Saccharomyces cerevisiae S288C: one gene and its partner. Changing the gene in region 2 together with the main gene of any one other region gives a genetic interaction. Each region holds a gene or a part of one and is shown on either strand. Other genes may lie near its edges.

The links.
Region 1: mutations in PSY2 (region 2) and SOV1 impair growth when combined (synthetic growth defect), as found in Saccharomyces cerevisiae (one study listed by BioGRID).

Annotation. Positions count from the first base shown.
Region 1 is NC_001145.3:399,629-404,805, reverse strand, and holds SOV1 (Sov1p), read right to left. Parts: upstream 3,266-5,177; coding exon 569-3,265; downstream 1-568. Other genes in the region: UBX4 (Ubx4p), read left to right, coding at 1-483; KAR5 (Kar5p), read right to left, coding at 3,590-5,104.
Region 2 is NC_001146.8:260,110-264,765, forward strand, and holds PSY2 (Psy2p), read right to left. Parts: upstream 3,095-4,656; coding exon 518-3,094; downstream 1-517. Other genes in the region: SPS19 (2,4-dienoyl-CoA reductase (NADPH)), read left to right, coding at 1-347; NNR1 (NADHX epimerase), read right to left, coding at 3,604-4,344.

The DNA of each region.
Region 1 (5,177 bases), on a different chromosome or scaffold from region 2:
ACAAAGAGACTTAGAGAGCAATCAGCCAACAACTTGCCAAAGAAAAATAAGGCTATATCTGAGTGTTTGCTGAGAGTCAAGTTCCCCGATAGAAGCCATATTCAAATAGCATTCAAACCCAATGAAGACATGCGTACAGTTTATAACGTCGTGTCGCAGTTCCTGATCGATGAGAACATGCCTTTTACGTTAAACCAATCTCATCCTTTCAAACCCTTGGCTAAAGACGATAAGAAGCTACTGGATGACCTGGAATTTGGCTCTAAAACAATGCTGCTTTTTGAAACAAATTCAAATTCTAATGGCCCATTAATAAAGGCTCATCTTTTGGAAGACGCACAAAAAATCACACACGAAACGAGGACAACCCCATCAGTTAATACGATAAATAAATCCAATCCACAGGGCCCTTCTGATAACGCTACAAGTATCAAAAAGACTTTAAATAGAGTACCTAAATGGATGAAATTAAGTAAAAAATAAATACAAAGCTAAACAGTCTCCTCTTTTAACTTTATTACAAATATGTACACGTATAGCTAAAATTATATAAAATGCATCCGTTTTTTTAGGCTTTTATCTTTAACTTATTTACATCTTCTATTAATTCTTCGAGTAAAGTAAACTCTGTTCCTAATTCTTTAAAAGCATCTTCTACCATCAAGAAAGTAGAACAATCACTTTTTTCCTTCCATTTTATAAAGATCAAAATCTCCCTGATCAAATGGGATATTGTATTCTCTTGATTTGTACCCTGTGGAATGTTTTTTAAGATTGACTCATTATTCATTAGCTCCGCCTTCCGTAACTTGTACTCACAAGCATCTTTACTGATGTTACTAATATCTCGTAAATATTGTCTTTTCAAACCCTTTAGAATATACATACTCAAATCGTAATCAATATTCAAGTCAAATTTTTTCGTTAGAAACGTTAATATGGCAGGTATTGCTTCTAAATCCCCGCTTTTCATGAACGTGGACACAATTAATTTAGAAAAAGTTTTGTCTGGCAAAATTTCACCATTTTCTGCCGTCATTTGGAACAATACTCTTGGGTGACAAGTTGGGTGAATCTTTATCTGCCTTTTTATTAATTTCTTTACAATGGACGACTTTTTCGATAAAATCCTAGAATTATTTTGTAAAACATGATAATAATGGCAATACACAGACCAAATCTTGTGGTACAGCGGTTTTGTTATGATGCGACGGTTGTAAAATCGGCAAGGGTTTGAGGTGGATAATGAAGACTCAGAGCTCACCTGTTGTTTGGATTCAAGTAGCGGATTGATGATCTCAAAACTTGAATTAAAGTCATACATGCTATCATAAAAATTGAGTATTTCTCTCAAAAAAACAGCATTTGGGATAACCTCTGACTCCTGCATTCTTTTTAAAAGTGACTTCACTTTCTGCTTAAATTCCTTTTTTCTAAATGAGGGCGTATTTTGTGCCTTCATATTTTGAATTTGAAGACTATAAAATTCAACAAATTTAGCGTAATGATATGCATTAACTTCCGAATAAAACTGATTATAGAGTAAATCTGGATCTGTTTTTGATTTCTTTGAGGCTTCTTCTAGTTTTTTTAAGATATTATATGCTTTTTCTTCTTCACCTGTACCGAGAAGTATGTTCAACAAGCCATTAAACTTTCTGGAACGTGACACACTGTTTAATTCCATCCACTGTCCAGAAGCCTGTTTAGTAATGAACTCTTCCAGAAAATCAGTTAATACAATACTTTTTGTTAAGGCCGAAACATTCTCAAACAGCAATTCATTGTATATTGGAGAATTAGTGTTATACTTAGTAATAACGCTCTCAAATGCCTCTTGCAACATTTTCACATTATTCTCAGGCACTACATAATCTTTATTTTGAGCAAAAATGTTTCGTAGCTTTTCAAAATCTTTCAACATATTTAGCTTGGTTTTAACAAGTAGAAATGCGGCATCTTCTTGTGTCGTTCCAGGTATTTCCATGTACTTGCTGATAAGTTGAGCCGCCATGGGAATATTTCTCTTATAAAGATGGAAATCAACAATGCTGATATAATCATGATCCGATGGTATTTCTAGTTCATTTAAGAACTCAGTTGCATGTTTCTCATTCTGAAAATTTTTAACTCCCGTGGGAAGTTCCTCCTGCTCATCTTTCATTCTGATTATTCCAACTTCTTCCACTAACTTAATAAATCGATCAGTCAGTATATTAGCTTCAGTAACATTGCCAATCGACAAATATTTTCGTATGCTCAATTTGGTAACTCTTGGGCTCAAATAAGAATACTTTGTTGAGTACTTTGCATCTGTCTCGGCTAAAAGTTTCCTGAAGTTTCTCAAGTGGTTAGACCTTAATGTGATCATTAATCCTAGTTCATTCCACCAGCGCTCGTTTACTTTGTCTTTATTGGTAATAAATAAACTGTATGCAGCCTTATAGTTTCCAAAAACTAGTAGGGATTCAATATAGAATGACTCATTTATAGGATCTAAACGAACTTTCCCTGTGCCATAAAGTAAATTTCCGACCAAGTAAATCCCTTTCTCCTTCATTTCTTGCACTGGTATCAATTTAACAACTTCAAAAGCTTGAGCAAGTTGGCTGAATGTGACCATTTCTGTTATTGACTCTTTCGGTTTGATTATGCCATTAAACCGTTCATTAAAACTTTTCAAAATCTCCAGTAAAAATGATGTACTCCTTAACGGTATATGGCCCTCTTGATCTTCAAATTGTTCTTGTGCTGATCGGAAAATATCGTTCATTATGGATTGCTCTAAGTCATCTTCATTTCCTTTCTCTTCATTGTATACCTGGGTTTGGCCGGTCGTGTTCAATCTTTTGATTTCTAAATCACACTCTTCGAGCAAATAATTGAAAACTGCATTAATTTTTACGGTGCTATTAGAGTCCTTGCTTTCTAAGGTTTTTTTTAATCTGTTTAAATTCTTGTTACTTCTTTTAAAGTTAGTTTCATTACAAAATTTCAGATATTGAATGAACGTTTCCTGGATAGTATCAAGAGGATTGATCTCCTGAAATTTCTTATTACTGAGAAGATTATTTTCGATTTCCTCTGATGTTTTTCCTTTCAAAATGAGACATTTTTCTGGTTCGTCTGGCCCTATGATGGTCTTATTAAGAACTTCAGGTATATGGGAGGCATAATTCAATGGCGCCCGCTTCAATCTATAAAAACGAATCTGAGACTTTGCTATCAAAGCGCTGCTACAGAGTGAGCGGTTGTATTTGAACATGAGTTATAAATATAGTATGGCCTTGTTTAATACGTTACTACTACCTAATGAATACTACCTGTGCCCATGATATAGAATCTCAAGATCTTTTTGCTTCGTCTTCAATGATAAAGCTGTAGGTGCTGCACTCGAACTCTCTTAAGCAAATTAACTTGGATAGTGACGTAGGACACCTTCTCTAGGTTCACTTGCCCGTATTATGGCCACCATGATCCGGTGTCCTTGAATTTTTAAAGAATATTTATTTTGCTAGACTTTGAATGCGGCTATATACCTATACATCTATGTATATATAGGCTTTCATATATTGTTACATCGGTAATGTTAAAAATCAATCAATGAGCCAGTCTTAGCTCCTAGATAAATTGAAAGTAGAAGAGCTGCCCATTGGTAATAGCGTTTAATAGGAATCATTTTGACGTTTACTCGAGACGTACGGTATTTTGACCAAATCCACACAACGGAGCACAGTAACCAGTAGTATTTATTCTTGACTGCAAGGTACCCACATCTTATAATCATTTTACTAGTTTTCCACATAAAATCCAATACCCTCATCATTGTCATGACATTTTTATGGACAAGTGAGACTCTGATTTCAATGTCGTCTAATTTTTTTTTTGTGCCATTCAGTTTCTCTGAAATATCATTAAAAGTTGAAAAAATCTCCTCATTCCATAAAGCAAAATCTCCATTTAGTGTAGATGTTATAGCTGTCCATTCTTGTAGTAAGGTATTTTTGAAGTTCGTCATCTCAGGTACTATCTCATCCGTCATGGATGGTAACAATGAATCATGAAGGATGGAATTGAACCCTTGCAAGAGCTCTATAGCTTCCATTTGTGATTCAGAAAGATCCTTTGACATGCCTCCTAACTGTTTTTTTAAACCCATCGAGAAGTTTTCCAACTCGGTATTAACTAACTTGTTATTTCTAGAGTAATATTCTTTTACGTCGTTGGACATTTCCACTAGGTCCTGTAAATTATTCAGGCTGTCGTCCTTCAAGTCATTTATCTTAGATTTTATGTCATTTTTAGCAAGCTCATCGGCTAGATCGCTCATAATATGATGGACGGTATCAACTTCATTCATTAGTTGACTGTTCTTCTCTATGATTTGGACCTCTAGTTGTTCGGAAGTTTCATAGAGTACATCATTCACTTTATTTCTAAAAAATGAGAGGTCGTTTTCTAAGATTATTCGATTGCTTTCGGTCGCATTTCGCAGTTCATTGTCATAGTTGCGGAACATCCTGGCCAGATCGTCCAAAAAATTTTGAGAATCTTGCTCCATTTGAAACATCAGATGATTTAACTTAGTATCGACATCATCCCCAAATGAATCATAAAGTTCAGTGATATTTAGAAAAAGTTTCAGTATCTGTTCTTTTTCAAAAGGAAGAAGATTTTCATAACAAATACTCGATAGTCGCTGATAATTTCCACTATAAGTTGTCCACCACTGTGAAGATGATTCTAGTTCAAACATACAATCCATCATTGATCCTAGGTCGTCAACCATGCAATTTTCTGGTATTTCGCCCAAGCCAGATGCCTGAAACTCGCATATTGAAAGTTTAATGGCCGTTTCTACCCTTGTTTCAGCGTCAATGGATTCAAGTCCATTTGCAATACATTGTGGCAAAAATAATTTTAGTGCGTCTTTAACACATGTTGATTTCAAGAATGGAAATTTGGATTCTAATACATTTGTCGCAACGGAATTATCTGTGTATATCAATCTTCCTTGCAGCAGATTGTTGATTTTTCCTAGTTCGGAGCTTGAAACAAACTTAATACAAATTGCAAACAAATAGACGTAGCGCATTTCAAACATTCAAAGTTTTTGAATAGAAACAGTTGTTGAACCAGAATATGTATACTTCATTGGTATTCCGAACCAGTGTTTA
Region 2 (4,656 bases):
CTGCTAAAGCGGGAATAGACGCATTGGCAAAGAATTTAGCGGTTGAGTTGGGGCCTCTGGGTATACGTTCGAATTGCATTGCTCCAGGTGCTATCGATAATACGGAAGGCTTGAAGAGATTAGCCGGCAAAAAATATAAGGAAAAGGCCTTGGCAAAGATACCATTACAAAGGCTTGGATCTACACGGGATATAGCCGAATCTACTGTTTATATTTTTTCACCCGCCGCATCGTATGTCACCGGTACCGTCTTAGTTGTTGACGGTGGTATGTGGCATTTAGGGACCTATTTTGGACATGAGTTGTATCCAGAAGCCTTAATAAAGAGTATGACATCTAAATTATAATACGTATAGGTATTGAGTACTATTATTATATGACACTTTCTCGTATGCTTTTTGATAGTTAATTGTATATTGATGAATTTTATATACAATGAGTGCACTATCGTTGTTAAACTTCTTACAACCATGACCGTTGTGCTAGCTTTTTATTCTTCTTTCCAACAAGGAAAAACTCAAGTACTTGCATTCATTTGGTCAACGCTTTTTTTAAATGCTAACTGATCACCAGAATAATGGGGGTCATTTTCAAAGTGTTCAATCTCAGAATGTAATCTTTTGACGTTTTTAATGTCAATATCTTCTAAATGATTCGAAGCAAATCCATCTGTTGACATATTTACAGAAATGTCATTCCCCCCTTCAATGCTATTTTCAAAGCTAGAATGATCGGGTTGGTTTTCTTCCCCGGTTTCTAGCATATCCTGGATGAAAGGGATATCAGTAGCTTTTCTCAAGACATCACCATATGTTTGAACTAAGTATTTGTTTAAAATGGTAAAGTTTGTCCTATTGTTGTTCACGTTCGTTTTGACGTCATTACCGTTGCCATCATAAGAACCATTGGTTTTTTCCTTTCTGTTATGGCCATCACTTTGATAAGCTCTACATTCTGTTATAATAATGCGGAAAAAATCTTGAATGCATGAATTTGCAAGATTATTCTTATCTATGTTCTCCTGGAAGAGTTTAAAAACCGGCGCATATAAATTTTTTGAAATCATATATCGATGATAGTATTTATCATCGAGACACATAAGGTTTTTAATGCATCTTACTGCTGTTAACCTTAGCTGCATCATATGATTACCGCCGATAAGTTTGCTAACAGAATCTAGTATACCGTTTTCTAATATGAATCTTCTGGATAAGACACGATCATGCTCAGTGCAAACAAATGATACCAATTTCACTAAATGAATTAACAAAAGATCGTCTTTTGTAACCTTTTCTATTTGCCCATCTATTTCTGCCATTTCCGTTGTGATATCCTTCTTGATTAATGGACCAAACAGTATGGGTGCGATTTTATTATAGAAATTTGCAAAATATTCCATTACTTGAAATTCAGATTCAGATTCTGGCTCTAGATTATTCATTTCATCGCTGCTATAGTGATAGTTATTTAAATTGATTGAATCCGAGTTTAAACCATAACTGAAACTTGGGAAATCTTCAGATGTGTTCTTAGCTTCATAATTTGATCTGCCCATAAGATCATATGAACCTTCTCCATTACCCACACATCCTTCAGGGTGAAGCAAAGTATTTAGCGCTTGCACAACTTGTTCTCGCAATCCGGGACTCCTGTCGGACAGAAGAATGGTTGAAAGTATCAATAACAACTTGGAATCAGTACTGGAGCTGTAATCCTGCGGATATTTCCGATGGGAAGACTTGTCATCGGGCGCTGATTTATGTTGCCGTTTGAAAGAATCTTCATTCTGAACGTTGTGAATTAACAAGATATCGTGTTCGATTATAGTAATGATAGTATCCGTAGCTAAAATCCTAACATTACTATCCGTCTCCATGTGAAATGCATAATCTAAAACTTTGAATAGACCCTTTCGAACAAGTGTTTTATAGAACTTAGAACGGTCAACCGCATCTAAATTGATTGACATTTGAACACACTGTTGCAACAATCTAATCCCGTCTTTTCGTTTTTGTACAAACTTCTCCTTCTCTGAAGAGCTTTCTGGAAGGGTTTTGGTATCATAAAGCTCTATTAGTCTGTCCAAAAACGTCCCTACTTGAAGAAAGTCGATTATACACGTTTCCAGGTCCATGACAATTTCCGAGATTAAGTTGAAATTATGATCGTCTAAAAATCGTACTAATACCACGTCTTTTAAGAACTGTAAGCGAAAACATTTTTTCATTATTATTTTTAAGTCCTCATTTTCCAATGGAATAACCTCTTTGAAATTGGGACCTTTTGATCCTAAATATTTCCTATGATTTGCCTTTGATGTAGGGTATTCAGTATCGTATTCTAAAATCCCAACTATTCCCATAATCCTATCGTCCTCCACCATTGACTCCAATATGTCTCTTTTATTGTAAAGTATCAAAGTTTTGATGATGTTACTTAGCAAAAATAAATCCTTCGGTATCTTTTCTTCTTCTGCTTTGTGGAAATGAGAAATCAGTGTATCAATGTAATTTGACTGGAGGATAAACTCAATGGTTTCGTTTTTCAAAAAATCGAAAGAAGTATTTTCATTCAAAATCTTTAGAGCTTCTAGTAAAGTTTGACTATTCTGTTGCTGGTCGTTGGAGGGCAAGGTCACAGGGCCCGTTATAATGTCGTGAACAGACCCGAGTCCGTTGTCGCTGGATTTTACGGTGACTAAAGAAATATTTGACTCTATGTTCCTTTGGACGTGAACAATGAATTCACATAAGGTGTCACATCCCATACTTTCTTCAAAACTCAAGGCTATATCTTTCCCCCCTAAATCCTTCCAAACAATAAGCGTTTCCTCCTGCCGTTGATATTCAATATTTCCTTCTAGTTTGGATTTTAGTAAAGTTTCAGTTGGGGAGTCTTCATCTGAGACAACAAGATATGCGAACTTACCTTCGTCCACCTCCCCTATACAAAACCCTGTACCTGTGTCTTTCCATTCGTTGTTCTCTAAAATGTAAACCTTTACTCTTTTGGGTTCAGTATTAACCGAAACGGCTTGTTCAGTATCCTCATCCATCGGGGTCGGAGATGTAGTAGGTGTACCCGGTAATGACATTACTCTTACTATACGTAAATCCTAAACTTTTCAGTTAGAATTTCTGTTTCAAACACAGACCAAAAAAAATACTGTTTTCTACCGGTTTAATATGGAATAAATGAGTTTCGATGAATTATAGTACCAGTTCAGTACACTCTTCTTTATTTTTTTTTTTTTCAGTATGCGCGGGTTTTGAAAGCACTAGGTCTTTTAGATTTTACGTCAAAGGAGGCCGAGAAAATATTGTTAACTATGCCACTGATGCAAGCAATCTCTATTGTGCAATTCTAGTTATATCTACCTTGCAATTGCCCTTTAGAAAGTATTGGTCTTCTTTCTTTTGTTTCTTCTTCGGATGAAACACCAAAGGAAAAAAAAAAAAGACAGATAGAAAAAGAAAAGATGGCGCGTCAGAAAAAGAAACGACGGTTTTATCATCTTAAAAGAGAATCATGATGGCTATTTGTTCACAAAATAAGGGATTATATAAAAATTATGTATGGTAGTGGCATTATAGATTTGGGCTATCAGAGTTTCAATATTTGGTCTGTGGATTCATATCCAAATGGCTCAAAGCCGAATTTATTGGCGAAATCTCGAGGAATGAATCTTCCCCCCACGTAATGAGTTGTTTGATTCTCCCTTATGTGAGAGCTGCATGGCTTGGGGACAGTCAGAGATACAAGAACAGCAGGATTAATTGAGGGCTGAGAGATCGGACCTTTGTCAACGTCCCAACCTGTGGGGACGTCCACCGAAACAATCGGGATAATGTTTTGCACTTTGCACAGTTCTTCGACAATGCCCTTGAATGGCTCTCTCATGGGAGGCTTGAAACTAAAACCAAATATTGCATCTACAATGCATAAGGTCTTTTCCGGCTTCAAATATTCCAGCCAGTTTCCCTCATCTTGAGACAGGACAGGAACTTTGAAAAAATTCAATTGGTGAACCAGCTGTTTGTAGAATTCAGTGCGCTCGCTTCTCTTGGGGTAGAAAACAACAGGGTTGTAACCAAAAAGCTTCAAATGTCTTGCGCACACGAGACCATCCCCGCCATTGTTACCTGGCCCAGCAATAACAAATACATGTTTGCCCTTTTCCGTTTCTGTCTTGCCTCTCAGTGGAAACTGGCGACATACAGCCTGCGCGACACTAAACCCAGCTAACTCCATTAGCTGTTGTAGAGTGAATCCGATTTGAGGACCCATCAATTCTTTGTCGATTTCAGCTGCAAGCTTTGATGAAACAACTTTCAACGTAGACATTTTTACCTTACAATGATTTCTCTTTAATACCTGAGATTGGTGTGTTGAAATGAAAATATGTGTTGGCCCAGCAACAGACAATAATATAAGCAAGGATCCTGGTCGTTTGATATTCTTCTTGAGTTTTTTTCTTATATATGAACGTATGTGTATATATTCACCATCCCTATTGTCTCCACCCCTTGTTCGCTCGTAGCGACGGAAACAATCAAATAAGAGGACCCACGGTAAAAGTAGCGTAAATTTTACGGTTCTGCTGCAAAATAAAGAAACCCATTTTGTATCCTTTACATCAGGAATAACGTAAAAAGA